Alligator mississippiensis: one gene and its partners. The main gene of each other region encodes a partner of the protein of the gene in region 4 in a complex. Links are inferred from orthologs where the notes say so. Each region holds a gene or a part of one and is shown on either strand. Other genes may lie near its edges. The genes, in order: SNRPE, SRRM2, SCNM1 and PLRG1.

Evidence for each region.
Region 1: PLRG1 (region 4) and SNRPE share a complex: the UniProt entries of both Homo sapiens proteins name them as parts of the minor spliceosome. The link is inferred for Alligator mississippiensis from reciprocal best matches to the Homo sapiens genes PLRG1 and SNRPE.
Region 2: PLRG1 (region 4) and SRRM2 share a complex: the UniProt entries of both Homo sapiens proteins name them as parts of the minor spliceosome. The link is inferred for Alligator mississippiensis from reciprocal best matches to the Homo sapiens genes PLRG1 and SRRM2.
Region 3: PLRG1 (region 4) and SCNM1 share a complex: the UniProt entries of both Homo sapiens proteins name them as parts of the minor spliceosome. The link is inferred for Alligator mississippiensis from reciprocal best matches to the Homo sapiens genes PLRG1 and SCNM1.

The regions. Positions count from the first base shown.
Region 1 is NC_081837.1:39,629,927-39,637,304, reverse strand, and holds the start of SNRPE (small nuclear ribonucleoprotein E), read right to left. Parts: upstream 3,007-7,378; 5' UTR 2,952-3,006; coding exon 2,898-2,951; intron 2,475-2,897; coding exon 2,448-2,474; intron 1,354-2,447; coding exon 1,291-1,353; intron 1,023-1,290; coding exon 944-1,022; intron 76-943; coding exon 20-75; 3' UTR 1-19. Other genes in the region: RRP12-like protein, read right to left, coding at 3,892-3,984, 4,301-4,380, 5,232-5,287, 6,125-6,201, 6,575-6,732, 7,118-7,225. UniProt on the Homo sapiens protein: Plays a role in pre-mRNA splicing as a core component of the spliceosomal U1, U2, U4 and U5 small nuclear ribonucleoproteins (snRNPs), the building blocks of the spliceosome.
Region 2 is NC_081830.1:700,630-707,507, reverse strand, and holds the start of SRRM2 (serine/arginine repetitive matrix protein 2), read left to right. Parts: upstream 1-3,877; 5' UTR 3,878-3,980; intron 3,981-4,549; 5' UTR 4,550-4,580; coding exon 4,581-4,807; intron 4,808-5,717; coding exon 5,718-5,822; intron 5,823-6,220; coding exon 6,221-6,382; intron 6,383-6,619; coding exon 6,620-6,697; intron 6,698-6,788; coding exon 6,789-6,851; intron 6,852-6,878. UniProt on the Homo sapiens protein: Required for pre-mRNA splicing as component of the spliceosome. As a component of the minor spliceosome, involved in the splicing of U12-type introns in pre-mRNAs.
Region 3 is NC_081838.1:20,118,003-20,125,611, forward strand, and holds the start of SCNM1 (sodium channel modifier 1), read right to left. Parts: upstream 3,006-7,609; 5' UTR 2,883-3,005; coding exon 2,832-2,882; intron 2,161-2,831; coding exon 2,090-2,160; intron 1,549-2,089; coding exon 1,460-1,548; intron 725-1,459; coding exon 627-724; intron 546-626; coding exon 445-545; intron 39-444; coding exon 1-38. Other genes in the region: LYSMD1 (lysM and putative peptidoglycan-binding domain-containing protein 1), read left to right, coding at 3,565-3,747, 4,756-5,057, 5,903-6,062. UniProt on the Homo sapiens protein: As a component of the minor spliceosome, involved in the splicing of U12-type introns in pre-mRNAs. Plays a role in the regulation of primary cilia length and Hedgehog signaling.
Region 4 is NC_081825.1:94,680,921-94,688,747, reverse strand, and holds the start of PLRG1 (pleiotropic regulator 1), read right to left. Parts: upstream 3,017-7,827; 5' UTR 2,922-3,016; coding exon 2,913-2,921; intron 666-2,912; coding exon 559-665; intron 330-558; coding exon 187-329; intron 1-186. UniProt on the Homo sapiens protein: Involved in pre-mRNA splicing as component of the spliceosome. Component of the PRP19-CDC5L complex that forms an integral part of the spliceosome and is required for activating pre-mRNA splicing.

The DNA of each region.
Region 1 (7,378 bases), on a different chromosome or scaffold from region 4:
TCCCAATTTATGACAAATTCTAGTTAGAAACACTCTGCAGAAGAGTAATATTGTCCCCTTTTAACATGATCCGACCTGCAAGACAGAGAGAGAAGGTGGTCAGGAGTGGCATGGCCTGAGAACAAGGATACCTGGAAAAGCATTTCACAGAGGAGACTAACAGCAGAAAATTTTGCAGAACAAAGTCCACAAAACAAGTACCTCGTCTTTCTACTGACTGGCAAAACAACAGGCTACGGTTCAGATTGCAAAGGTTTCTGTTACAGCAAACTGAGCTAATATACAGGTGTACTACTACTGCATGCTTCACAGGGCTCCATGCCTGTAAGTCTGTGGTACTCATCTCTCTGCAGTATACGATCTAAAGGTACAATTCACTGTATCGGTGCACATGAACACCATCTGCAGCTAGTACATCAATTTCCTCCTGTATAACGGAGTGTGCTGCAATAAAAGGCACCCCAGCTACCCCTGCACACCCCCGATTCATTGTTTACCTTTGGCACCTGGCAAGCAGTGAATATCAACTACAAGCAAACAGCGAGAGTCATGGTTCCGTGCCCTGACTCTGGAAACGCACACTTGAAAGAGTAAGACAGAGAGCTGGAGGGTCTCAGGACTGAGATAAATGTGGCAGAGATCAGATTGGGTTTCTCTGGCCATCCTAGTAACAAAGAGGAGGCAGAGAAGCACAAGATATTTACCTGCCTCTTTAAGGTTTTAGACTAGTTTCTGGACTTCTTGTGCATATCTAATGGGATACCTATCAGATCTCTGACCCCAGCACTGTTATTCTATAGCAAACAGCAAAAACAAGCATCTTCACAGCAGCCTTTGCTGGACTTCAGCCCAAGCTTCTAATATGTCTGCATTTAAATTGCTGCCCCACACAAGGCTTATCTGGACAGGTTTGGGGCCCATCATTTAAACCATGTAAACGTACCCAGCTGTTTCCTTGACTTTGTTTTGGAGTGAATCTCCTCAGCATCATCCAGCACTAGGTTCATGTATTCATCAAAACCCTAAAAACCAGCAACAAAATCAGTTAGTCGCCTAACTCCCCTGGTGTTAAATCCAACTCCCCTGCCCTTACTGAGGGCAGAACCAACTGCAATCGCCTTCTCTTACAGAAGCACAGACTTATTAAGTGGAAATGGCTGAGGCCGCTGCTTCAGACAGTGCTGAGCACTGCCTTTAGGACTAGTATCTGTCTCTGTTTACATTTGGGAGCTGCAAACAGAACTTGCAAGTTCAGAAAAGCAAGAGACTCAAGAACATCCTGGCACTTACAATGATGCATCCTTCTATTCGCATGTTCACCTGCTCATAAAGCCACACCTGGATCCTGGACCGCTGTAAAATGAGAAGCAAAAAGAGACAGTAGAGTGAGTGTCAGCACATGTATTCCAAGTGATTTTCTGTTACCCGTTGCTGTCCACTCAAAATCTACCTTTGCCCCTGGCCAAACTGGCTTTTAAATAGTATCCATCACTCCATAATAGCAGGCATGTCACACTGTGTTTTACAAAAGGGGCGGGGGAAGGTATCCCCAGCTACCAAACACTTCTAAGCACATAGAGAAATGAGTCTTAAGAAGCACCCATGTGCATCACTGCACCCTTGCCTTCAAGATGGTATCCTTAGGAAATAATAACACTGCTTAACGTAACAGCAAAGCGTTGATTTCAGAACCCAAGTTCATTGTGGGGCAGGAAGTCCACCACCTCTGGAACAGTTCTGCTTAGCTAAAGGCAAGTTTTTTCTCAAGTGATGAAAACTCATGTGTGGGCCCCCACGTGTTTCAGAATATCTGCAATAATCTTGCAGAAGCAAAATCAAATCCTGGGGGGTCATCGCAAGGAAGCTTTTGGTGATGAGGATACACGTTAGTGATGATCAGACGCTGCACAGGCAGATGTGTTGCCATCCCTTCTATCAACACAGCACAAAGAAGCCGACCTAGGCCAGGACCCATTTCCTTCTATCGGGGAGGGGGGGATCAGGGTCCAATCCCCTACAGCTGCAGGCCCACCTGAAGGGAAGCACTGGGGTGGGGGGGATGCCTTGCACTCCACACCCCACCTGCAAAGGCTCCTAACAGAGCAGCCACCTCCAGGGCTGCCGCAAGGACAGTTCACAGCACAGCAGAGATACAAGCTGAAGACCCCGAGTCCAGACACGTGCTGAAAAGGCCCTGGGACAAGCTGCTCCCAGGGACCCCAGTCCCAGCTGGCCCTTGAGCTTTCCACTTTCAGCCTAGTACAAGCAGGCTCTGCCCCTGCCCCATGGCCCCGGGCAGCCCATAGGCTCCTTCTCCAGTGCCTCTCTCCAGGGCCCCGCTCCAGACATGAAGCAGCAACACCGCCCACACTACTACCAGCAGCTCCAGGCCAACTTGCCCCTCCCGGCCCCCCGAAGCCGCGCGCGGGGCCAGAACCGTCACTTACGTTCTGCAGGTAGCGGAAAATCAGGTTCTATTGCAGGCAGTTAAGGAACAGCGCGGAGACAGCGTGGGCCGACCTGAGCTGGGGAAGGCATGGGTAGACACCACCCCCAGCCAGGCAACACCCCCCCCACAGGTTCCCCGCCCATTGCCAAGCAACACCCCCACAAAAACCAGGCAAGCACATCTCCCCAGGAACCCCGCCCTGTTGTCAGGCAACCACATACCCCGGGATTACACCCCGCTCCCGTTGCCAGGCAACCCCCCACATCTCCTCCATTGCCAGGCAACCCCCCCCAGAATTTCCCCCTCTATTGCCGGGCAGCCACATCCCCCAGAATTGCCCCCCCCGTTGCTAGGCAACCCCCCAGGAATCCTCCCCTCCGTTGCCAGGCCACAGCGCCCCCCCCGGAGTGTCGTCCCCCCGCTGCGGCCCCGCGCCCCTGGAGGATACGATGGGCTGCACCATCACCTTCTGCACCTTCTGGCCCTGCCCGCGGTACGCCATGGCTGCGCACGAATCAGCCCCGCTGCACGCGCCCCCTGCCGCCGGAAACCCCGCAGCATGCCGGGAAGCCGGAAGCGACGCGCTTTGGCGGGAAGAGCGGGGAGTTCCGGGCGGACGCTCTAGACCGCGGGAGGACTCCCGCTCTACTGCCCTGCCCTGCCCACCCTTCCATCATTGCAGCGCCTGGTGAATGCTGCCATAAATGCAGCCCAGCCCAGACTGTGCCAAGCAATGCTCGCACCGTGCCAACCGCACAGCTCACACTGGTCCGCACTGGGGGTTGCTTTCCTCTGCCGCAGGTGCACAGCCTCTGCTCTGGTGGATCCCTGCCGCCCTGGCAGCAGCGGGTCATGGGTGGCCGCGGCCCTGCTTTCCTGGGGCAGGGCCGGGGGTGCCTGGGGCTGTGTCGTGTGGCGCGGAGGTCAGACACGGGGTTTGTTTGGGCTGGTTTGGACGGGGCTAATCCTGCGTCTGGCAGGGCTGGGACTGGATGTGACCCTGCCGGTCCCAGCCAGCCCCACGGCTCTGCGATGCTACGATCCGCTACCCCGGACAAGGCCTGGTTCACCTGCCTGCCCTCAGGCCCAGGCACAGATTGAGGAAGAGAAAATTAAAAGCAGCCCATCTGGGACTGCACCCTTTGCTGGGTGATCCCAGGGTAAAGACCATCAGGATCCCCTGGACATACAGCATGTCCTGGCCGTTTCTCTGGTCTCCGATCCAGGGGCTGGGGCACCAGAAGGACGAGGAACAATCGATCGGTCCGGGGGGAATCGTATTTATTGCTCCCCGCTCTGTGGGCTCTGCACACCTACACCCGCTCGCACAAACACCCATGCACACGCCACCCCCGGCGGCACTGAGCAGAGATCGAGGCCGGGGCCACCACGCGCAGGGCTTGCACATCTGGTGGGGGGGCAGGGGGCCAGCAGGACTCACTTCACGAGTGAGGCGGTGTCTGCGCCCAGCCTGGATGCCGTGCTGGGCTCCCTTCATCAGCCCCTTGAAGTGTCCCTGCTTCTTCGCCTTCTCCCTGCGGGAAAAAGATGAGGCGCAGGTCAGGGCAATCTATGGAAGCCCCTTGTTATTCTCACCCAGCAAGGGGTGCTGGGGGGTGATGGGGCAGGAGTTGGCTGTGGGAGCAGTTCCCAGCATAGGGTTGGGGCTGGGGAGGGTCAAGGGAGCTCCCTGATGCTCTGGACCCTGCAATGAGGCAGAGCCAGGTCACAAGAACAGCTCAAGGATCCAGGGAAGCTAGGACCCAACCCAGCTTTTGCCATGGCCCCCGACTCCCCCTCCCACAGCCATGGGCAAGGCCACCCCCCCCCTGGCAAGCATCGGTGCCGTACCTCCTGTTGAGCGTGGCGCTGTGGAGGGCGAAGTAGGCGTAGGGGTCCAGCTGACTGGCCTTCACGTCGTCTCTGCCTTTCTGCAGGACACACAGGACAGTGGAGACAGATGTATGTGGCCTGGGGCAGCTGGCAGCCTGCCTGGCAGGGGACAGTGCCCCCTTCCCCTGAACCCCGGGACCAACACTGCTGCAGTGGTGTGGGCTCGAGGCAGGGGGTGGAGGGGCAGCGGGCCTGGGGGACACAGCCCCATGGCATCTCCCAGGTTTTTAAGCCTCCCCAGAGGTGCTGGGTGCAGGCTGCAGCCAAGCCTGGGGATGGGGACTGGGATGTGCCAGTGCTCCTGCTGGTACCAGCCCTGCAGGGTCCTGGCTACAGGGTCTTGCCCCTCTGCTCAGTCTCAGACCGATGCTGCACTGGGGGTAGGAAGAGATTTCCTGCAGTCAGATTGATCTGAGCTGGGGGTTTTGCCTTCCTCTGCAGCGGGGGCACAGCTTCTGCCTGGGGTCTCTGGAGCACCCAAGAACCCCCCTGGCAGCAGCAGGTCATTGGTGTCCGCAGCCCCCCTGCTTTCACGGGGTCAGGGGCAGGGGTGATGCCTGGGGTTGTGTCTGGGTGACTGTCGTGTGGCTCAGCAGTCGGACATGAGGTTTGTCTGGGCTGGTTTGGACAGGGCTGGTCTTGCCTCTGGTAAGGCTGAGACTGAATGTGACCCTGTGGGTCCTGGCCAGCCCCACGGCTCTGGGACTACAACAGCCCCACACATGTTGCAGCGCCAGGCTGGGCCCCTGAATGTCTGGGCTCTGGGCAACTGCCTCCTGCTGCACCCGGGGCTCCAGGGCAGGGCACAGAGGGCACCACAGCACAGGGGTTGCCTGAGTTGGCGCCCTACCTTGCTGCCCTGGAGGCAGGTGCCATAGGGGCCCCTTACCTTGGGCGTGTAGTCCTCCTTGTGTCCTGGCGGCAGATGGATACTGGAGCCTCCTACTGCAACACAAGACCCAGGGCAGGTTAGGTAGGGCCCAGACACCAGGGGGGTGGGTAGGGAGCATGTCACATCTCAGCAAAGGACAGGGTCCTGCCTGGACAGAGCGGGCTGGGCTCAGCCCTGAGTAGGGTGGCCTGGGGCCCGGGGGCCTCATTATCCCCCAAGCAATACTCAGGATGGGGCAGAGCATGCGAGCCATGTGCCAGGGGCTGCCCCGGTGACTGCGACAGCTGGCAGCCAAGAGCTCACACTGCCCCGGGCACAGAAAGGTATATGTTCTTTGTCACGTGCTTGAAATTGTAAACTGCTGCAATCAATAAATGTTCTCACAGAATGGACTGATCTTGTTCAAGCTTTTGTTAAATCATTGTTACTACCTGGAGTCTAGTGTTAAGTCTGGTAACAAAACGGTGAAGGGTTAACAGGGCCAGTGTCTCCCATGGGGCATGAGACCCCAAAGCTCCCCATTCTCTTCTGCCAGTGGGACCGGAGCCAGGCCCAGGCCCCCCAGCCTCTACCCTCCTCTGGGTCTTGGAGGCGCCTCGTGGCGCTGGTTGCAGGCGACCGCCTGGCACAGAACGCACTGCCTCCACCCGTGGGCCTCAGCCACACGGACGTTCAGCACGCAGCACATTGTAGCACACGGCCGGCAGCAGCACCTGCACCAGCTCGAAGCTCTGGGGAGATGGGGGTCAGCTAGGAAAGCCCACCCCCCGCCAGGGACACCATGCTTGCCACAGCTACGGGTCAGACGCAGCTTCCCCCACCCCCAGAGTGCCCCAAGGGCCCAAGCTGGATTCAGCCATGCTGCACCTCCCTGCCAATCCCCTACTCACCAATGGTTGCGAATGAACTTCAGCTTCGCACGGAAGTGATGCTTCATGATACCCGGCAGGCCCTGCAAAGCCTCCAGCTGCCAGGACAGGGATCGTCACCCTGCCATCCCAACACTCACTACCTCTCCAGGCCCCATACCCTGTCGCCCCCATCACCCCCACACCCCATTGCTCCCTGCCCACCACACAAGGTGCCCCACACCCTCTGCAGATGGAGCTGATCTCCCCCAGTATCACCATTCCCCCACCCTGGACCCTGCATTGGTGCTGCCCCCACCCCACAGCAGGGCAATTCAGCCCTCACCCCCTGCTTGGCAGTGGCTGAGTGGGGTACGTGCAAGCCTAGGATGTGCTGCAAGCCAGGGCAGTCCAGCTTCTGAGTTGGGAAGGGAGCCCTCCCCCTGCCTCCCACTGCAGGAGCCCAGCTCTGTCCCCACAGGCCAGACTTACCACGGCAGGGATATGTGGGGCCAACAACCTGTCATCCAAGAGCAGCAGCGCGGCCCGGAGGAAGCCGAGCACAGCCTTGACCACGCGGCGGGTGCGGAAACCCAGCAGCAGGCAGACGCTGCGCAGCAGGTGCTCCATCTCATCCGGGCCCAGGTGCTCTGTGGGGCAGGCAGTGCCGCTGAGGTCTGCGCCCACCCAGGGGACCCTACCCCCCTGTGCAGGCCAGGCCCACACCCAGCTGGGGCTGGTGAGCAGGATGGAGCCCTTCTTGCTGGCAGAGGGGGTCTGGCTCTGGTAGGTGCCAAGACAGGCTCTGCCAAGCAAGAGCTCCCCTAGATGGGCCCACAGTGCCCCCACATCCGCCCCTCTGCTCCCCCAATGGCACCAGGGGGCTGCAAAGAGCCCCTCCACCACCTTCAAGGGGCTCGGCCCCAGGACCTCCCACTTCCCAGGTCTGCCCCAGCCATAGGATCCCGTGCCCACAGCCAGCTGCCCTGCAGCGTCCAGGCCCCCAGCCCCCATGCCCTGGCAGCCCAGCCTCACCTTTGAAGTTGAAGAGGAGGCGGGTGAGCACCAGCACGGTGCAGCTGATCATGCTGACAGAGCCCCTGAGCCCCGGGGAAACAAGGTACAGGAACCTCTGCATGGCCTCTGTGTGGGGCAACAGTCAGGTCAGCGAGGGCCATGCCCCCCCGCACTGGCTCCTGCCCCAGCAGGTGCCAGTTGCACCCAAGGGCTACAGCCCAGGCTGTTGCAAGTGACCCACATCTGAGGGAGAGGGTACTGGGAAAGTTCAGCACTGGG
Region 2 (6,878 bases), on a different chromosome or scaffold from region 4:
ACCTCATTAACCCGGTTACAAACTCCTGCAAGAGCGTTTCAGGCTGGACGTAAGGAAGAATTTCTTCCCTGTCCAAGCCCCGCGGTCTGGGGCAGCCTGCCATCGGGGGTGGTGCAAGCACCGGCTCTGAACGCCTTCAAGAGAAATGTGCATGCTTATCTCGCCGGGATCCCGTGACCCCAGCGGAGTTCCTGGCCCCGGGGCGGGGGCGGGACTCCATGATCCTCCGGGCTCCCTCCCCACCCGAATGTCTATGAAATCTATGAAACCCGTGACCCCAGGTGACCTGCACACATATATCTGTACTCGCATACACACGCACCCATAGGTATCCATGTGTGTCTGCACACATGTTCACACATGTACCTATAGGAACCCCCTGTTCTCGTATGTACGCACATACTCACGTTTCTGTGTGCATTTGCACACATGCATATCTGTACTCACATGTTCCTATGTGTACACACATACCCATAGGTACCCATGTGTGCCTGTACTCATGTACATGCATACTTGTGTTTCAACGTGCACCTGCACACATGTATATCTGTATTTATGTGTTCCCACATGTACACACATACCCTGAGGTACCCATGTGTCTGTAAACATGTTTGCACACATATCCATAGGACCCCATTTGCACCTATACGCATATGTACACACGTACTCATGTTTCCATGTGCCCCTGCACACATGTACATGTGTACTTAAGTGCGCACACATACCAATAGGTATCCATGTGTGCCTGTACACGTGTTTGCACATGTACCCATATAACCCTATAGGCTGGGGAACACCCTTCTTGTCAACGTGGTGACAGAAGGGGATCTTGGAGTCATTGTTGACTCTAGGATGAACATGAGCCAGCAATGCGAGGAAGCTAACCGCACCTACAGATGCAGCTCAAGCAGGTCCAGGGAGGTGATCCTCCCACTCTATGCGACGCTGGTCAGGCCGCAGTTGGAGTACTGCGAGGCGCCGCACTTTGGGAGGGATGTGGCTAACCTTGAGAGGGTCCAGAGGAGGCCACCCGCACGGTCAGGGGACAGCAGGGCAGGCCCTACAAGGAGAGGCGACGGGACCTGAACCTCTTCAGCCTCCGCAAGAGAAGGCTGAGAGGGGATCTGGTGGCCATCTACAAACTCACCAGCGGGAATTGGGGGAGGCTCTGTTCCCCCAGCTCCTCCCGGGGTTACTAGGACTAACGGGCACAAGTTAGAGAGCAGGTTCAGGCTGGACATCAGGAGACATGACTTTACGGTGAGGGCTGCCAGGCTCTGGACTGGGCTCCCAAGGGAGGCGGTGCTCTCCCCTGCCTCGGGGGTCTTCCAGAGGAGGCTGGACAGATATTTGGATGGGGTGATATGACCCTGGCACCCGTTCCTGCCCGGGGCAGGGGGTCAGACCTGATGATCCGTTTAGGTCCCTCCCGACCCTAAGCACTATACTATGACCCCATGCGCACCTATACTCATATGTATACATGTACTCATATTTCTGTGTGCACCTGCACACATGTATATTTGTGTTTATGAGTTCTCATGTGTATGCCATAGGCACCCATGGGTGTCTGTACATGTGTTTGCACACGTGCCTGTAGAAAGTCACATGTGCCTGTACTCATAGAATCAGAGACCGTGTGGGCTGGAAGGGAGCTCAGGAGGTCACATCTAGTGCAACCCCTGCTCCAAGCGGGACCAGCCCCAACTCCATCATCCCAGCCAAGGCTTCATCCACCCTTGAAGGTCTTCAACACCGCCAAGGACGGAGATCCCATAATCCCTCTTGGCAGCCCATTCCAGCACTTTCCCACCTTCCTTGTCAGAGAGTTTTTCCTAATATCCAACCTCAACTTGCTTTGCTGCAGCCTGAGCCCATTGCTCCTTGTCCTGTCATCTGGCACTACAGGTCACGTGTACAAGCGCCTACTGAGAACAGTCCAGCTCCATCCCCTTTGCAACCACCCTGCAGGCCGCTATTCAGTTCCACCCCCCCCCTCGGTCTTCTCTTCTGCAGCCTCAATGCACCCATTTCCCTCAGCATCTCCTCACACATCATGTCCCCCAGCTCCCCAATGATTTTTGCTGGACTCTCCCTAGTGCTTTCTGCAGTGGGGCCCACAGCTGGACCCAGCACTCCAGATGTGGCCTCCCCAGTGCTGAATAGAGGGGGAGAATCTCTGACCTCCACCTCCTGGCAATAATTAGCCCTGCTCGTTAGCAACCAGGATACCCTATTGGCTTCTATCCAGCTTCTTGCCCCTGTGTCCCAGCACACGGGATTGTCCTGTCCTAAGTCCAAAAATACAGTTGCTAACAGACATATTTGGAGTATACGTAGCACAGAGAGTGACAGGTTAATAACGAGGCATTAATTACCTGCTCTTAATTGTCAGCTGTGTTGTGGCTGTGCTAATGTATATCATTATTAAATGGTATATATACAGCATGTGCATGAGTTACATGTGAGCTGTTTTATGTGTCACAGGCTCTTCACTCGCGTGGGGTCAGATACCCACTTCCAAGTCTCCGTTCCATGTTCTCTGGATGCTCGGTATGACAGGTAACACTCGTGCTATTGTGTGTTGTGACGTGACATGGGTATTACACGTGTCATATATGGCACATGCTATTGTGTGTTATTGCGTCATGGGTATTGCATGCATGCATGTCATGTATGTCACACTATTGTGTTTCATTACATGGCATGGGTATTGCATGTCATATCCAGCACACACTATTGTGTGTGTCATGGGTAGTACATGTATGCATGTCATACAGCACATGTGCTGTTCCATGATATGTCATAGGTATTGCATGCATGTGTGTCATATACAGTGCATACTATTGTGTTCTTACATGTCATGGGTGTTACAGGGCTGTCATATACAGTACATGCTACTGTGTGTTATGTCATAGGTATCACATGCATGTGCGTGTCCTATAGGGTACCTGTGCTATTGTGTGTTATTACGTGTCATGGGTGTTATATGTATGCACGTTGTACAGTATATATACATATGTATATGAATGCACGTGTTGTACAGCACACGGGCTATTCTGTGTTATGTCATAGGTATTGCATACATGTGTGGCATATCTAGATCACGTGCCATTGTGTATTATTACATCACAGGTATTAAATGTGTGTCATATATGGCATGTGCTATCGTGTGTTATTACATCAGGCATTACATGTATGCGTGTATACTATAGGATGCACATACTATTTTCTGTTCTGGCTCATGGGTACTACATGCATGTGGCACATACAGCATATGCTATGGCGGGTTATTACGTCATAAATTTTACATGAAAGTTTAACATGTGTACAAGTCACCAATGGTATACATACTATTGTATGTTATTACAACACAGGTATGGCATGCAGGTGTGTGTTAGACATGTCATGGGCGTGAGATGCATACACGTGCTATGACGTACTTTGCTGTCGTAGCTAGGCCATACTCGCGCGTGCACACGCTACCCGCTCCCCCCGGTCCCTACCCCTACGTGTCCGTGCACGCACACGTGCACACGCAGCTCGACACGTGCGCAGGCCGCGGCCGCCTGCGCAGGCGCACACGGGTCGGACTACATTTCCCAGCGTCCCTTCCCCCGCCAAGATGGCGACCGCTTAGTCCCTCCCACTCATGCGCACAGGACGGGGGCCGACTCCCCAGTGAGGGGACGCGGGGAGCCAGGCCCGGTGCGCATGTGCGCAGCGCTAATCGCCCCCCGCCAGCCTCTGAGGCGCGTGCGCTCCAGGCAGGAGGAGGCCGAAGCGCATGCGCACCGTGGCCTCCCCGACCGGCGCCATTTTGGACTCCGTTGCCCGGCCTGCCCCGCGCGGGGCTTTTCCGGCCCCGCCCCGCGCCGCCCGCGGTCCGCCATCTTCCCGGCCTGCCCCGCGCCGGCCCCAGGCTCCAGCCTCTAGGCCCAGCGTCGCGGAGCGGAGCGGCCTGGTCCGGCCCGGGCCCGGTGAGGGGGGAGGGGGCGTCTGGGAATGAGGGGGGGCTCCTGCGTGGGGGGGAGGAGGGAGGGGGCGTGGAGGGGTGTTGTAGGGGAGAGAGGTCGTGGGGGGCGCGGGGCCGTGGGAAAGGGGTAGTGGGGGCGGTGTTTTGGGCTGGGGGAGGGGCCGTGGAGGTGTTTTGGGGTGGGGGCGGGGTCGTGAGGGGTGTTTTGGGCTGGGGGAGGGGCCGAGGGGGAATCTTTTAGGGGGGAGGGAACGGGGCGGGTGTTTGGGGGCGGGGTCGTGGGGGAATCTTTTAGGGGGGGGCCCGGGGGGTGTTTTGGGGGAGAAGGGTCACGGGGGGGGTGTTCTGTGGGGGAGGGGCTGTGGGGGGCAGGGGCGTGAGCTGAGAGAGGGGGAGTCCTGGGAGGCAAGGGGGAGACATAATGGGGGGAGGGGCTGAGGCCAGCCCCACCCTGGGGAGGAGGTTTGAGGCATGGGGCATTGGAGGGGGCTGGGGGGGTAGGCGGGCAGGTGCTCTGGGAAGGGGGTGGGGCTCCTGGACGTGCCTGGGTTCTTACCCCCCGCCCCCCCGCAGGTCTGGCCGCCCCCCTCCCCCCGGCGGCGCCATGTACAATGGCATAGGGCTGCCCACGCCCCGGGGCAGCGGCACCAACGGCTACGTCCAGCGCAACCTGTCGGCCGTGCGGCACCGGCGGGAGCGGGCTGAGGACGAGGGCGCCCGGGCCGAGCCCGCCTTGCTGAAGCGGCCCAACCAGGACATCCTGGACCATGAGCGCAAGCGCAAGGTGGAGCTGAAGTGCCTCGAGCTGGCTGAGCTCATGGAGGAGCAGGGGTGAGGCTGCTGCCGGGCAGGGCTTGGGTAGGGGCAGTTGGGAAGGTTGTGGGGAGGTCTTTGGGGTAATTATGGGGGTAGGGCTTTGGGCATGGGGTAGCTGGGAAGATTGGGGGGGAGGCCTAGGGGGAGGTGTGGGGGCTGTGGGCAGAGCCAAAGGTGGGCAGCTGGGAAGGTTCGGGGGGGGGGTGTCATGGGGGTGGGGCTTGGGCATGGAGCCAGAGGTATGGGGTAGCTGGGAAGGCTGTAGGGAGGTGTTTGGGGTCTGTGTGGGTGCAGGGCTTGGGGGCAGAGCCAGAGGCACGGGGTGGGGGGTTACTGAGGATTTTGGAGTATGTGTGGGGGTAGGGCCAGGGGTGGGAGATAGGTGGCAGGTTTATAGAGAGGTTGCTGAGGCCTTTGTGGCAGGATGGGGGGGGGCAGAGTCAAGGCATGGGGTAGCTAGGAAAGTTATGTGGAGGTCTCAGGCTGCTGAAGTGGGGTTGGGGGTGGAGCCTGGGAGTAGGGGTGGAGCCAGGGCCTTGGTCAGCTAGGAAGCGCATAGGGACCTTTCTGGGGCATTTGGAACAGGGCTAGGGGCGGGGCTTGGGGGCAGAGCCAGGGGCACTGCGTAAGTGGGCAAGCCATAGTAAGTTCCTGAGACTTCTGGGGCAGGGTTGGCGTGGAGCCGGGGTGGGGGCGGAGCCAGGGTACGGGGTAGCAGAGATGCTTGTAGGGGTGTCTGGGGCTGTTGAGGCTGTTAGGGGTCGAGTTTGCAGGTCAAGGGGCAGAGCCAGGGCACAGGGCAGGTGGGAGTCACAGGAACATATACAGAGGCAATGAAGTAGGTTTGGAGGTGGGGCTTAGGCTTGGGGGTGGAGTCATGGGGGGGTTGGCAAGGCCCCGTTCCCCACTGAAGCCCCGTCCCCAGGTACACGGAGGGGGAGATCCAGGAGAAGGTGGCCACCTTCCGCCTCATGTTGCTGGAGAAGGACATTGGGGGCAAGGACATCGACACCCCTGAGGGGCGCCCCACGTGAGTGACCCCTGATCTCTCACCCCCCATGGCAGTGCCCCTCACTCCTTATCCACAGCACCACCCCCACCACCAGCAATGCCCCTCACTCCTGACCTGCAGCTCCCCCCAGTGGTGCCCCTCCCTCCCAACCAACAGCAACCCCCTTCACCCCTCCACAGCAGTGCCCCTCACTCCTGACCTGCAGCCCCCTCCAGTGGTGCCCCTCGCCCCGACTCCTGACCCACAGCCCCCCTGGCGAGCAGTGCTCCTTGCTTCCAATCATCCCATGGCACTGGAGGGGTTTAAAGCAGGTTGGGGGAATCTGGGAGCCTGGACACCTGGGTCCTCTGGGCTGGGGGACGACAGTAATGGGTGCTGGGTACCTGGATCCAACACCCCCGCCCCCCCTCCTGCAGGGTGACGGAGACCCACCAGCTAGCCGAGGCAACGGAGCGTAAGAACGAGCGACTCCGCGCCGCCTTCGGCATCAGCGACTCCTACGTGGACGGCAGCTCCTTTGACCCCCAGCGCCGGGCACGCCCTGCTCCCCGTCCGCCTGACCCCGTCCCGCCCCACAGGTACCTGGGGATGTGCTGCACACCTGGGTTCTCTTTGGGATGGGGGGTTTTGGTGGGGGGGCCTGGAAACTTAGATTGTATGTGTTTGCATTTGCACCGGACACCTGGGTTCTTTGTTGGGACGGGGTTGGGGGTTGTGCCTTTGTGTGACCCAGATGCCTGGGTTCTCTGGGTGCGTGTCCCAGATGCCTGGGTTGCATGTTTGACTCTCTCTCTCTCCCCCCCCCCCCGCCCCAGCCTGGTGCGAGAGTCCAGCAGCTCCCGGTCTCCGTCCCCCAAGCAAAAGAAGAAGAAAAAGAAGAAAGACAGAGGGAGGTGGGTACCTGGACACCCGGGTTCTCTGGGGTGGGAGAGTAGGGGTCTGGATCCTTGGGTTTTCATCATGCCCTCCCCCTGTTGCTGCTAGGTCAGAGAGCCGGTCACCCTCACGCCGAGAGAGGAAGAAAAGCTCCAAGAAGAAGAAACACCGGTGAGAGCCTCTTGGGGTGGTGGCAGG
Region 3 (7,609 bases), on a different chromosome or scaffold from region 4:
CAGGCCCCGGCTGTGCTCCCACACGGCCTCCATCGCACCTGGAACAGGAGGAGACAAGGCCTTGTTCAGCAGTATCTCATGGCCACGACTCCTCCTATGGGGACCCCACTGCCAAAAGAACCCAGGAGTCCCAACACCTGGCCTTCTGCCCTACTCTGTGACCCTTGGATCTCACTCCCTTCTCCCAGGTGACATCTTAATGCAAAGCAGGCCAGGGGGAGACAGCAGCCTCCCTGCGCTGTTTCTCTCATGTGTGACCTTTAGCTGGTATAAGTCAGCAGAGCACACCTGAAGACTGGGCCCCTAGAGCAGGCGGTGTAACAGCACCCTTACTAGGAGGTAATGGGATAGCTGGTGGTGCTTCCCAGAAGCAGCTGCCTTGTCCAGGCTGGGAGCAGGTCTCCCCGCAGCCTCCCGCCCATGGCACATATCCCCCAGCCCTACCTGTTCCTCCGGCAGCAGCTGCTGTAGGGAGTGGCTTTCAGCAGGGCGCTCTGGGTGATGGCGCGAGTCTGAGTCAGCAGGGGTGCAGGGCATGGGAGGACCTGCAGAGAACACAGACAGGGTGAGGGTGGGGCTGGGGTCACTGGTGGGGGGGGGGAGGCAGGGCCACGTGTGGGGCTTACCTGTGTGCCCGTCTCCTCTGCCCGCAGGAATTCCTGCTGCTGCCACTTCTGTAACTCATTCTCCCGTGAGTGCTTCCTCCCGTAGAAGGTCTGCAGGCCTAGAGACAGGGGGAGGCAGGGGCCTGGGTGAGCAGAGCCCAGCTCAACCCAGCTGGAGGCTCACGGTGGGGGCACAGACCAGGGCCAGCATGGGGGGGTCTCGAGCTGAAGCAATTGGACAAGGCAGTTCTGACATGCTGGGCTCTCTGGATGGCACATGGCAGTCTGCATGAGGGCTGGCCCTGATGAAATGCCTGTGGGAGCCCTGGGGCTGTGGAGGTGCTAGGAGGGCTCTGCTGTCAGAGGCAGAGAACAGCAGGGCAGGCAGCCAGGAGCGGTTTAATCCAGAGGTGCCAAACATATGGCCTGTGGGTCAGACCCAGGCTGTGGAGCTGGGTCATCTGGCCTGTGGGGCTCCCAGAAGGGCTGGGGATTCAGGGGTGCAGACCACGGCTGTGATATGAGGCTGGAGCAGTGGATAAGCTGCATCAGTGTGGTTCTCAGAGGAGCCCCTGATTTGGCCCATGGGCCAAGAGAGTTTGAAACCCTTGGTCTAATCCAGCCCCTGCCCCCAGCAGGACCTGACCTTACCCCAACCCCGATGGCTACTGCCCGACCTGCCAACGCCCAGGAAATCTGGCCTGGCGTTCTGCTATCTCGACCGGGTCAGCGGAACCAGTGGAGCCTAGCGGGTTTATAAGGGATTTGGTAATGAAATAGGCTGGGGCTGCTGCCCTGGCAGGGCCCTCCTGGCCCGGTGCCCCCAGGCTCAGTGCCCCCAAGCATTGCCTTACTGGCAACGTGCTTCTTGCCGGCGCGATGCACAGTCAGCATGTCCAGTGTGTCGAAGACAGGGCGGTGGAAGCACACGGTGCATGCGTACCTGTGGGGGAGACAGGGTCAGAGTGGGCAGGAGACATGGGTCCATGTGGGGAGACATGCCAGGCTCCTTTCTGGGGCATTCATACCCATAACCACGGCCAGCTCCCCAATGCAGCACAGCCCATGGGACTCGCTCCGTCCCACCCTTGTCTTTACCTGGGAGGAAAAGGCAGGGGCTCAGCGACCGCAGAGGGAAGAGAACTTGGTGTCCTAACCCCTCACTACAGGACTGACGGATCAGGCTCCCTCCCGCACAGTCTCGTTACCCTCAATTAAAAGCTGGGGGAAACTGAGACTGCAGAGAGAAGTGCCTCTCCCGGAGCAAGCCCAGAAGCACTGACTTCGTGGCCTCCTGGGATAAACCAAGACTTCCTGGGACTTTCCGAGAGGGGCCTGGGGTCTAACGAGGCTGAGACCTACCCTAATTGTGCAGCCCGACCCAGACAAGCAGCCGAACAGCAGCACAGGCTGGCGGCCTGGCCCCAGTGGGGCTGTGGCTGGGTTCCTCTGCCGGCCCTGGGGCTGCTCCGGCCCTGACCCACCTGCCAGTCCTCAGCAGCAGCGCCTCGTCCTCCGGGATGTAGTTGGCCAGCAGGTCGGACACTCTCCTTTTCTGCAAGAAACCCCTAATGAGGAGGGGGCCTGACAGGCCTGAATGAAGCTAAGGCCCAATGCGCTGGACCGCTCCTCTCTCGAGCACAGAAGTGACTGGTGTCACGGGAGCGACGGTCTGGGCCCAGGGGATGCTGCAGCACAGGGCAGGGAGGCAGCTGGACACGGGGAGGAGGCAACAACCGTGGACAAGACCCCTGTGACCACCGTGTTCCCGGCCCCGGCTCCCAGACCTGGGCGCAGTCCAGGCAGTCTCTGGAGGGGCAATGACAGCCCAAGGCCCAGGGGGCTCTGTGACGCGGCGGTGGGTCCCCCTCACCTCTGCCATCGGCCTCACGAGCCCCCCATCCCAAGGGAGCAAAGACCCCCGGGAGGGAGGAGCAACGAACTGCCCCCAGCCCCACAGACCCTGGGGGGGCAGGGTGTGCTGGGGGGGGAGGGGCAGGCCTAGGTGGGGGGGCCTGGGGGGGTGAATGAGCAGGGTCTTTGGGGTGGGGCTCGGGGGGGGGTCCCTCAGCAGCATGGAGGGGTGGAAAGGAACTGGTGGTGTCCCATGGCAGGGCTAGGGGAGGGGCTGGGGGGGTCCGTTGGGCGGCGGGGATGGGAGAGGGGAGTGCGGGGGTCTTTGGGCAGGGGTGGGGAGGGGCCGGGGTCACCCCAGGCCCCGCCCACCTGCAGCACACGGAGCTGGCTGACATCGTCGCCCTCGCGCTTGAAAGCCATGTCGCCCCGGCCGCGACTCCGCTCCGCGCTGCTGAACCCGCGCAGCCACCGTAGACCGGGCAGACCGGCCCTCTTCCGCTTCGGCCCCCACTTCCGGGCCGGCGCCTCCCGGCCTGCCTCGCGGCGGGGACTGCAGCTCCCGGCCTGCCTCGCGCTCGCCCGCGCCAACCTGGGACCCGCAGGCGGCGCCCGAGTCACGCCGGGAAATGGAGTCCTAGCGCCCTCACCCCGCCCCTCTGGGGGCGGCCATTTTGTGAGGGGGAGGAGGACTACGTGTCCCAGAGGGCTTTGCGTGTGTGGCTCTGCTCTCCGCTCTTCTGCTCTGCGAGGCTGCGAGCGTTGCGCTCTCTGGGGCAGGGGTGGGGGGCATTAGGTAGCGGGCGTTGAGGCAGGGGTGTGGGCACTAGAAAGGGGACAGGGGTGGGGGCATTAGGTAGGGGACACTAGAAAGGGGGTATTGAGGCAGGGGTGGGGGCACTAGAAAGGGGGCAGAGGGGCATGGGGTAGGGGTGGGGGCACTAGAAAGGGGGCAGGGGGGCATGGGGCAGGGGTGGGGGCACTAGAGGGGCTGGGAGCATTGCTCCCCCTGGCAGGGGCCCTGGCATGAGCTGCCCTGCGCGAGGCAGGTGCAGGCCGGGGCTGTGACCCCCTTTGGCACCTGCCCCCCGGGTCCTGCCCCAGCATGGCCTCCCCACCGGCCAGGCCGGGGTCCCCCGGGGCGGCGGGGCTGCTTCACGGTGGCCGGGCGCGCTCCTACGGCAGCCTGGTCACGTCGGCGGCGTCCCCGGTGCGGGAGCGGCGGCTGGAGCATCGCCTGGCGCCGGGGGACACGCTGCCGGGGCTGGCGCTGCGCTACGGGGTCACGGTGAGGCCCCGGGGAGCCTCCTGGGTTGGGTTCCTGGTGCTGGGAGGGCAGCGGGGCCGAGGGGTTAGTGCCAGGGCCCGGAGCCGGGACTCCTGGGTGTTGTCGCCGGGATGTCTTGGGCCCTGCTGGGGATCAGGTCTCCTTGCGTCTTTGCTGCTCCGTGAACTGCGTCCCTGTGACCTGGAGCAGGGCTCGTCCCTGCTCTGTGCCTCAGTTTCCCTATAGCAAAGGTGCCTCGTCGACCTCGCTCTGCGTGTGGGGGGAGCGCATGTATATGGGGTGGCTCGTTCCTACACACGAATGCAGGAGATGCTCTTCCTGATGCATCCCCTGGTCCTGATTGTGTGGACACACATGTGTTGTCAACCCACACGTGCGCATGTTCCCGCACGCCTACACACTTGTGTTCACACACTCTCCCTCTGTATCTCCTCTCCTTTCCCCTTTGGCACTTTCTGTGCGTGCCGGTCCTCACACGGCTCTCACAAGGGATCACTTTCCCTTCCCATCTGACTCAGCTGGCTTGGGGTGGAGGTCTGGGCAGGCCGTGGGCATGTGACTCTGTTTACTCATGGGATCTGAAATAGCCCTGGGCCAGCCCCAGGCCCTCCAGCTTGGGCAGCTCTGGCAGGGTCCTGCCCCACATGTGCTGCCCCCTGCTGGACTGCTCCTGCCACTGCCCCTGGGTTTCTGGGGTGCTTTGTATCCCAGTCTCTGTGCCAGCCTGGTTTGGGGCTCCAGCAGGGGAGTGGAAACCTCGCCCCCAGCCCGACTGGGACCACTGACAACAGTGCTGCCATCTGCATGCAGCTGGTCATGGTCCAAGTTTCGCGCTCTCAGTGAACTCCCACATCCTTCCCCCTGCCCTCTCCTTCTGCTGGATCCCACAGGGCTGGCTGGGTTCATGGGTGTGCTCAGCCCCAGAAGTGGTTGCATTTTGGCAGCAGGGTGTAGTGGGATGGGGCAGGCGCCTGATGGGAGCTTAACCCTGCATGTGCTTCTTCGCAGATAGAGCAAATCAAGCGCGCCAACCGGCTCTACACCAACGACTCCATCTTCCTCAAGCGGACACTGTACATCCCGGTCCAGGTGCGGGCAAAAGGCTTGATCCTGCAGGAGGGGGAAGGAGCCAGGCAGCCCCCTGAGGGTGAGGAGCAGCCGGAGTCACAGCCCCGGGATGGGGATGGAGCCAGGGCTGGTTCTGGCCTCCGCCACGATTTATCAGCCATGGATTTCCTGCGCCAGCTGGACTCGCAGATCAGCCTGTCCAAGGAGGCCGCAGCCAAGAAGCTGCGGGAAGGGAAGATCGCGTGAGTGCCGCTCTCGCGTTGCTGTCTCAGCTGGGGATCGAACCTACCACCTGCTGGCTAGGCTTTAAGAGACTCTTTCTTTGCCTCCTGCACGGGGTGGGGGTTCCTGGACCGCTCCATGGGGCAGGAGGAATTAAAGCCACCTCAGAGAAGTACCCAGGAGGGCATTTCCCCTGGTGCCTGAGTATACGGGACTCCCACTCCCCTCCAGGGGGCTCTAGTTCTAGGGCTAGCCCAGCCCAAGCCACACAGAGGGTGTGGGGCAGAGATGGGAAGTGTGGGGTGATGATATTTATTGATAACATCAGAAACTAAAAATGAGGGGGCGGGGCCTGCACCCCAGGGGGCTGGGGTTGCACCTTGCTCTTGCCCTCGAGGGGTATCTGTGTGGGGCAGAGCAGAAACACGACATCCCCTCCCTTTTTCTTGTGTGACATGCGGTGAGACGCCCCAGCTGAGACTGCAGCGGTCCCCATTCTGCCCCCCCATTGCCTAGGAGATCCTGTTGTGTTGCTATGGCCGCATGGTTTTCCAGGGAGACTTGCAGTGGGGGGATGTAGCTATCTATGGGGTCTGGGGGCACTAATAGGGGATCGTAGCAGGCAGGGACATTGGGACCCAGGCAGAGGTTTGTAGTGCATCAGAGAGCCTTGCCCTTCCTGATCAAGGCAGCTGGTTGAACCTCAGCCATGCTTTCTGGGGCAGGGAGGTTCTCTCCCAACTGGCAGCATGGGGCAGTGGTTGGAGCTGGCGGGGGTGCAAGAAGAGAGATGTGGGCGTGGGGGGCAGAGAAGAGCCAACAGAAGGCATGGGGAGCTCTGACTGCCTCTCCTCCCCCCCTCCAGCATGTCCGGGGCCGAGGCGGGAGCTGGTAGGACGGTCCCTGGGCGGAACGAGCCCTCGCCCCGCACCCAGCAGCGCTCTCTGCTGGGCCCAGTGCCGCTCACCAAGACGCTGCGGGCTACTGTGCTGCGGGATGAGGAGGATGAGATCTTCAAGCTCTGACTTCCCCGGATCCTTGTGGCTTTGGACTACTGGGCCATGGCACTGGTGGCGCCTGCAGCCTTCGGAGGAGCTGGTTGGAGGGCCAAACCCTCCCCCCCACCTTCATCCTGATGCACGGGTCTTGGTGAGCGTGACACACATGTGAAGGGCTTTCACAATGCTGCTTTGTTCCCACGTGGCCTTTCCTGCCCTGTCTCAGCCCTGTGGGCAGATTCTACCCGCCAGACCCCCTGCCCTATCCCTGCTGGGGCTCCCTATGTTCTCGCCCCACCTGCCCCACTCTCCCCTCACCAGGCAAGAGGGGGCAGTGCCAAGTTCCACACTGCCCTCCAGCCCCCTCACCTGCTGGGTCTCAGCTGAGGAGACCTGATGCCCGGTCCCCTGTCAGCACCCCCTGCTGATGTCCCCCAGCCCTGGTCCCCAGCCTCCCGGCCCCTGGTCTCTACCAGGCACTAGGCCAGTGGGAGCTGGACCAGTGCCCGTTGCCGGCCCACTCTGGCCCTCCACAGCAGGTCTGTTGACACCCATCTCCCTCCCCACTCATGAGCTGCCTGGCATTAGGAGAAAGGGCCAGGGCCTGAACTTGAACTTCTTCATCACTTTCCACCAGTTTGCTGTCAGAGGGTCCCTTACTGGATTCTGCTGACTGGCACCAGGACCAAGGGCAGGGAGACCCCAATCTGACCTGCTAAGGGTCACGGATGAAGGTTTCTTGGTCAGGGGGGTACGTGATCACCACAGCAGGCAGCAGTGTCAGGAGGGGAGTAGGGTGCATAGAACATATCTCTTGGGCTCCTTCAGGGGTGAGACACACCCCCCCCTCCCCCGTCTCCTTCACCTTCACGCTGGGGTTGGGGACCCTCCTCAGTGAACAGGGGCCCAGCCGAGCTCTGGTGCCCGTGCTTGTAACCAGCCCCTCTTGCCATGTACTCATCCCTGGATCTCTAATAAAACCTGGAGGAAATAACTAGGGTTTCCTTCCCTTTTATTTTCATAGCGACCTCCTAGTAGTGCCCTGGGGACCCTTTGGGCCCTGCCTGCACTGGTAGGGTCCTGAACCATGCCCGATCCCAGGCACTGTGTCTCCGGCAGGATCCAGCCCGCTGCTTCCATGCAGCTCCTGGGTTAGTACAGATGGGCTTAGAGAGCGGCAGTGAAGGGCACAGCTCAGCAAGGCCTGAGGGTGCAGATACATCCCTATGTGCTCAGAGGCTGAGCCAGCAGGGGCTGCCGCTCAGCTTGGATGGGCATCTGCAACGCTGGGGAGTTTTTTTGGCTGAGGGACTCCTGATCACTAGGGATCCTGGTTTTCTGTGATTAAAAAAACTCCCCAATTTTCAGTTAAAAATAGTAACCCCAAGTCCACATTTTTCTGTGATTAAAATGAAACTCCATTAATATATAGATATAGATATATATAGTGGTGTTTCATTTTAATCATGGAAAAAGTGTGGATTTTGGATTACTTTTTTATATCTGAAAAATAAGGATTTTTTTTTTTTTTTTATCAGAGAAAATCAGGCTCCCTGCTGATCACTGTCTCTCAG
Region 4 (7,827 bases):
TCACTTGCATTCTAAAAAGACAAGCTTGTTACACACAGGATAATAAAAATAGATAGTTTTCCTTCTAAATCTCTCTCTCAATTAGAATGATCAGAGAATTATCTTGTAAAATTATCATAGCAATTCTAAGATTAAATTTCATATCATAAGACAATATTCAAAATATACAAGCAAAGGCAAACTAACCTTGATTTGCAGAATATTGTTTATGTCCATAAGGATCCACCACACCCTGGGAACCCTTCTCTCTCAAATTTTCCTTCAGCGTAGGCATGTGCAACACAGAACCATACTCTGTGTGAAGCTTAACTGACATCTTTACCTTGTGACTAGTTGAGAGAACAAAATTTATTAATACTTGATCTTCTGAACAACCGCAAATTTTAAAATGCTTTGGAAATCATTTAGAATCATGTCAGTTCTACTGCTTTCCTTTCACCACCTCTAGATAGTAGTTCTGCTTGAACATACACAATCTGACTTGGATAAAAGAAAGCAATTACTTGTATACACTAACATTTTAAGACACAGCAACAGGCTAGTGACAGCTATACTTACCTTTCTTCATCCAACGATACAGGTTTTGCATTATCAGCCACAAACATATCATGGGTCCTCTTCAAGGATCTGAACACAAGAGTGTGCACAGAATGTTTCTGTACATCCTACAAGAAGCCATAACAAAAATTTAAAGAAGAATCAAAAACAGCAATATAAATTAAATAAGGTAGTAATTTTTCTCCTTAGTAATTAAAAAAACAAACCAAAACAGACACTACTGAATTTGTAGAAGAGTACACTGCCATCCTTAGGAGCTGGGAGCTACAGATTTGGCCTGATAAATTGTTTCATTGCCCCCTCACTTAAAATAACACTCCTTCCTTGGGATAGTCTCATGATAAAGAAGAGCAGGCCAAAACTTTGACCAACTGTGTTTCCAATTCCAACCACTGAGGTAAATACAAACTGAAGATAAAAGCTTGTCCTTCACACTTACTGGTTCTTTGTTTATACATAGACAATAAAACAAATGGTTCAGGCGCATCAGTGGTGCAGGCCTACTCATTTGATTGCAACCACAGAGCAAACAAATGGCAAAGAAAGATCATTTAAGAACTACCACACAGATGATGGCACATGTGTGCATGCCTCTTAGCAAGAAACAGCATGTTCTTGTGGATTCCAAAACCTGCAGGCCTTGGTTTATCGATGTAATTGCTTTGCTTTTTCTTGAAGTACAAAAGCACCATTCAAGAACTAACAAAATTAACAATACCAAAGTAAAATTAGGGTTGGAAAGGACCTCAGTAGGTCATCCAGTCCAACTAGGAGTGCACTGATAAAGATTTTCTGGGCCAATACCAATGGCCGATTATTAACCAGACATATCAGCCAATACCAATTCAGTAGCCAATTTAAAGGAATGCCGCTGGGCAGGGCGGGCAGCAGCAGCACTGGGAGGAGCGACTACAGGGAATTTTTGGGGTGGCTGTAGCCCACCCCTCCCAGGACTGCTGTCCATCTCACCCCCTCCCATCCTGAGTGCAGCCCAGGCCCCCTACCAGGAAGAGGACAGCCCCTGACCCTGCAGCAGGCAGCCTGCCCTAGCCCCACGCACAAATCCGAAGGTGTGTGTAGTAGTCCCTGAAAGAGCTGCCCACATTTACCGCCCTGGCTGGGCAGTGTCCCCTGCCCTTGCTCCACTCTTTCCCTCACTGTGGGGACCTCAATCTGGCCCCCACCACACTACATCCCTTTACCCTTCCTCCTATGCCTTCTTCCCCAAAGACTTAGTAGCCAGATGCTGCTCTCCAAGCTGCCAGGCTGCACTCCTGGCCACGTGCATGCTGTGTCTGTGTGCATGCATATGGCATTTATCGGTAACATTATCAGCTACACTGGCCAAAAAAAGGCCAATTGCTGATAATGTTAATTTTCCTTGTATTAGTGCTGATCTGATATGTGATCAGCATATCAGTACACCTCTATATCTAACCCCCTGCTCAAAGCAGGACCATTCCCAATGAGATCATCCCACTCAAGGCTTTGTCTAGCCAGATTTTTTAAAACCCCAAAGGATGGAGCTTCCACCAGCTCTCTGGATAACCTGTCGCAGTGCTTTACTACCCTCCTAGTGAGAAAGTTTTTCCAAATATCTAAGCTTCTTAATATCTTCCCTTGCCACAGCTGAAGACCACATCTGATACCCAAAGTTACATTTCTCCCAGGCTACTAGAGGGATCTTGGGGGACACTGACCAGATACTGAGTTTACCTCCCACCAGGGAGGGAAACACCCCTTGCCCAACACCATCTTAGGGGTCCTCCTCTGCTCAGCAAAGTTCTTTGAGTAGATGTGACATTTTTTATTGGACCAACTGAGATAAATATATACAATAAAAGTTTATATAATATAACAAGAGATATCACATGCATTCAAAAAGCCTTTGCCTGCCTCAAAGCAACACAGATGCAACCAAAAACCCAACTCCTATGCTAGCGCATTTGCCAAACACACTATATGGGAAGTGCTGGTAGCTGTAAACGACCGCAGATCAGTCCCTTGTCTTGGTGACAGGTGCAATGCCAACATGACGTGCAACAAGGCCACCTGGCCCAGTCCCCTGAGTGCAGTGACCTTGCAACCTATCTTCCTTGTGCTTTACTGGCCGGGAAGGTAGGCATTTACAATTCATTTATAGCGCGGACATAAGCGTCCGAACTCTTCAGAGTCAATGCATCCTCCCCGCCCCCCAGGCCCGTGGCCGGGCAGAGGCTGCAGGAGGCCGGGGCTCAGGCTCCAGCTCCAGCCCTGTGCATGGCCCCTCAAGCCCCCCCCACGCCGGGACACCGGCCCGAGCCCCAGCCCGCCCCGAGGACTGACGGGGAATGCGCGCGGGACCAGGCGCTCACCTCCACCATGGCGCCTCCTCGACAGCAGCCGCCGAACCGCTATTAAAGCACTTCCGGCCCCTGTCGGAAGTGACGATACCACGACCCGCTCGCGAGAGCCGGCGACATTAGGCCGCGCTGGAAAGGGAGGGAGGAGGAGAGTGGGGGGGGAGAGGCGGAGCGCAACATCGCCCAATAGGGGGAAGGGGCGGGGCGTGAGGGGAGGGGGTGGGGCGTGAGGGGAGGGGGTGGGTCGCGCCCTGGCTGACGGCTGGCCTTGACTCTGGGCGGCCCAGTGGACCGAGGGTTCGAGCCCCGGCTGCCCGAGGGCCACCCTCGGCCGCTGCAGCCCTATAGCCAATTTTGTGAGAAGTATGAGGCTTGAGATCTGTATAGAGGAGTTTCATAGATTACCTTCAAACTTCTTGAAACTGAACTAATGTCTCCTGTGGCAGGGGTGGGGTAGGAATCTGTAGCGTATACAATTTTGGCAGTGACACATTACTGTATTAAAACATCAGGTTCATAGTGAACAGTATAGATAAAGTTGCAACTTGGTAGCAGGGTATTATTGTATTGTAACAATAGCCTGGTAATCAGTCTTATAAAATTTAAATATAGCTTCCATTAAAACTCACTTCTCATCACATTTTTAAATATCTCTTTTTGTCATTAAATTATCTATTCTATCCATACTAGATGTTGCAAATGTATATGAATTAGCTTTGTTCTAACAAAGTTACAGGCATATGTAATTTGAATCCAAATCATAAGTGGCAGGCCATCTTAAATTGAAAGAAAATCTGAAATCACATTTATGACATTTGATAGGTTTCAAGATAGGTTGAGAGGCTGCTTTAATTAAATATGAGATCAGAGCTGACCCACCTTTCATTTTTCAGTGTAATAGGCAGAATATCTCTGGATTTTCCCCCACTTTCTTTTACTCCAAAATAGCTTACTCAAATTTGCTAAAACTTTAATCTCTCCCCCCACACACACCCCCACACCCACATACACTTTGAAATTAAATTCTGAAAATTTCACCCAAAAGAGAAATCTTGAATAAAGTTGAAATCAACTGAAAAAAAGACTGGGGGGGGAGGGGGAGGGGGACAGCCAGCGGCACATGTGCCCTAAGTGGCATAGGCAGCCTCTGTCTGTGGCAGACAGCAAATCAGGGAGGCAGCAGGGAGCTGCAGATAGAGCAGAAAGCAGAGCAGCAACTCAGGCAGAGGAAGAACAACTGAAGGGGGAACTAGGAATGGATGTGGGTCTAATTTGTGATATGCCTGCCAAAAAAGGTTGACACTTACTGGTTTAGAATTTGTATATTTTGGCAACTTCATCTACAGCTGCTGACTTCTATATTTTTGTTTTAGCCAAACAAAAATGCCTTATTTCTACCATCCAATGTTGCCGATTTCTTGATGGTGAATATATTTAACTATATAACAGCTGTATAGAGCTGGTGAACGTAAGTATATATACTAATTACAATTACACATCTTGAACAGATGAGTGCAGTAGTTAGCTTTCAAAAAGATGCCCAGTATTTAACTCAGCCTTTATAACACTGGTTAGAGCCTGCTGAGCAAGTCTTTACTGCCAAAGTGAGCAAATATCTTTATAGGATTGCTCTGTGAGTTTGGACTTGATGTCTTGTGATTTAATCCAACTTCTTCTTTGTGCTGTGTAATGGAGGAGTATTTTGGAAGAGTCTAAATTTTTAATTGGAGCTCTGCTGTATTAAGATTTAAGTGTGAAATTAGCCGAAGTGAAGTGTAAAAAGAGAAATAATTCTAAAACTGTAAAATGTAACTTTAAAAGGAAAACTGTACTGTTATGTCAAATTAGGATAACTACATCAACTAACAAAGAGTAAATGCCTAAAGAAGCAAGGACCTATTTTTCAAAGAGCACATTTTCACTTACCTTTTAACATACAGTTACCAAGAGAATATATTTGTAGTTACAAGCATCTCTTTATGTATCAGCATTATTTATACATATACATCCACATTGCTTGCATTTGGTCTTTAATAAAGGCAGAGAGAGGGAATTGTTATCCTTTGTGTGTCTACATGGTAGTTTTCCGTTAAATAAATAGCCTTTTTGTCACTTATACACTTTACAATTCTGTTACCGATATAGTGTGGTAGATATGTAACTGTTGCACATACCCATTGGCCAATGCATAGGTATAAGTATAGGTTTCTAGGAAGTGGTTAGGTGGTAACTGTAACTAAGTGGTTAGGACATTTCCCAAGGAAGCATAGAGGGGGTGCTTCCCCCTTCTAGGCCACAGGATTTGAATCTTCTTTTTGACCACTGTAATGGGGTGTACCCCTCACGGGTGGTCATGGCTCCCTGGTGGCCCTCTGGCACCTATCTGCCTACCCTGGCATCCTAATCTGGCTCCTCTCTCCCTCCTGCCATGCCTTGATGCTATAAATTGATATGTTATTTAGAAGACTGCCTTTGGGTAACCAAAGTCTAGTCATGGGTACCTTACTTCCCCCTCCTCCTTCGCAACTACAGGTCTGACCAGGCAGCACAGAGGTCCACCCCTCTCTCCCTCACTCTCATTGTCAGCCACTATCATTGGCTGGGACCCTGCCCTGTTGGGCTCCAGCCTGCCTGTCTTTAGTCACTGCCCCTGGCCTGTCTGGGCCTCAACCCCACCCAGGTCTCCGGTCCACTAGTCCTCAACCCCCTCCATGGCCCCTTCCAGTCCACTGGGTGGTATTAGCAGTATGAGCAGAAATAACAAAAAGAAAAGTAGACCCCAATCAAGTTAACATAAAAGGTCTTTGGGCTGTACCCTCTCTCCCAGGCCTCTCCTGGCCAATGTAAATGGTCACCATTCCTCTAGGTTTGTTCATTCCCCAGGGCTCCTCCTGGGTTAACATAAACAGCTCTCAGTCTTCTGGGTGCCCACTTCCCCAGGATCCTTCCTGAGTTAACACCAAGAATCCCCCAGGGCTTTGCATGCACTCATTCATTCAGTCTTTCTTCCCTGATAGGGGCTCCTCCTTTCAGGCATCAGGTGCTCTTGCCAGGCTGGCATTCGTTCCTGGCTCTCTGGAACACTCCATCCTTCTCAGCCACAGGGATGGAACTGGACTGGACTGGACTAGACTGGACTGGACTGGGTCGGTCCTCCCCTCCCTCCCCCCCACCTTCCACTCTGGCGGGGAGTTTATATCCTAGTCATCTCTGCCACCTTTGTCAGCTGGCCAGGCTTCCTGTTCATCTGGCCCAGTGTGACTGCGACGGGCCGCCATCACGGGTACAGGCAGAGGATAGGCAGGACAGGGGGGCAACAACACCACCTCAAGAAAGCCACGGGCCGGGCTACTCACCCCCGGGAGGGATGGCAGCGTCAGAGCTGGGACCGCAGCAGCAGACGCGGCCGCCATTACGGCCGCGCGAGCCGGCACTACGCCGGCTTTTTAAACAGCTGTTCTCAACAAGGGGAGCAGCTGAGCCAATCGCGGCAGCCGCAGCGGCTGCCGCGGGAAGTTTGAAAGCCCCGACAAACCCCGTGGAAAGGGGGAAGCCAGAGGAGGAGAGAGGAGGCGTGCAGCACGTCACTGCCGCTGCGGCTTCCCCAAAGCCAGAGCCTCAGGCAGGCAACTGGGCATCAGTCCAGCAGCTGGGGCGAGAGCCAGAAGCCCCGGTCGGGGCAAGAGGAGTGACTCCCAGGGTTTGCTGGGAGCAGAGCAGCAACTCGGGAAGTTCTCCCATTCCCGAGGAGCAGTATTTTTGAGAGCAGGGGAGAGAAGAAAGGAAAGGACCCGAGCTAGCGGCCGGGTCAGGCGGAGGCGGAGCCAGGCTGCCTGAGGACGACCGTTGGCCTCGGGGAGGCCTGCCAGAAAGAAGTGCTGCAAGTAGCAGCGGATGACCATCTCATCAACAAGTGACCAGTTGGCGAGTGGACGGGGTGTAGGGGTGGCGGAGCCCCATGGAACATCTGAGGACCCAACCGTGAGTACCCCCCTTTACGTCAGGCAAGCCCCTCTGGCAGAAGATCTCCACTGAACCCCTCCTTCGAATCACTTAACATCCAAGTCATGGCAGGCGGGACGAGGGGGAGGGGCTACCATACCAAGGGCGGTACCGGACGTGAGGCCCACGGACGTCATACCCAGGTATAGCTAACCTCCCCTTCCCACTCAGTGCAGTGTTTTTCAGCCAGATGTTTGCAAGCTAGGCTCTGCAGAAGTGAGTCCATAGCCCAGTGTCAGTCATCTTGCTTCAGGAGGTTTCTGCTCTCACCTTCAACAAACAGCTTGCTCTCTCTTGCTCAGCTGGGTCTCTCTCCTGGTAGCTGGGACCTCTATTCTTCTGGCTACTCTGGAAGGGCTTTTCCTGCTGCAAGCTATCCCCCTCTCCTCCTTGGGCTACAAAAGTTCTGGCTTTAAATGGGCCTTGCTGATTTTTCCACCCTTGCCCTCTTTCCCCCAAAGCAGAGTTCCCTGTTACACCACCACACTACAGATTAGGCCACTGACTCACAACCAGAGTGTCACAGCATCTTGGGGTACCATGAGATCCTTTTAAGGGTGCCCTGCTATATAAGCACTGTTGCATGTGCCAACACCTAAATGATTCACAGGATAAATCTAGAGATTCCAAAAAGTAATCCATGGTGTCAAAAGCATTCTGATCTGTTGTGGCTGTTCTGAATTCTTTGCAACAGAAGAATTGCCGTATTATTTTTCTGTTATAAAAAGCAAGTCACAGGTGCCCTCTCCAGCACTCCTTTTGAAGCTGGGCAGCCAAAAGGGCTAAGAAAAAGAGGTTGAAACGGAGGGAGAGTGGCTCAATAAGAGGTGTGCTGCTTTGGAAGGCAGGAGGGCTAGTTTCTAACTTGGTCCTTTTCTTTCAAAAGGTGCAAGATCTTCTCCATTTATTTTATCCATGAATATTA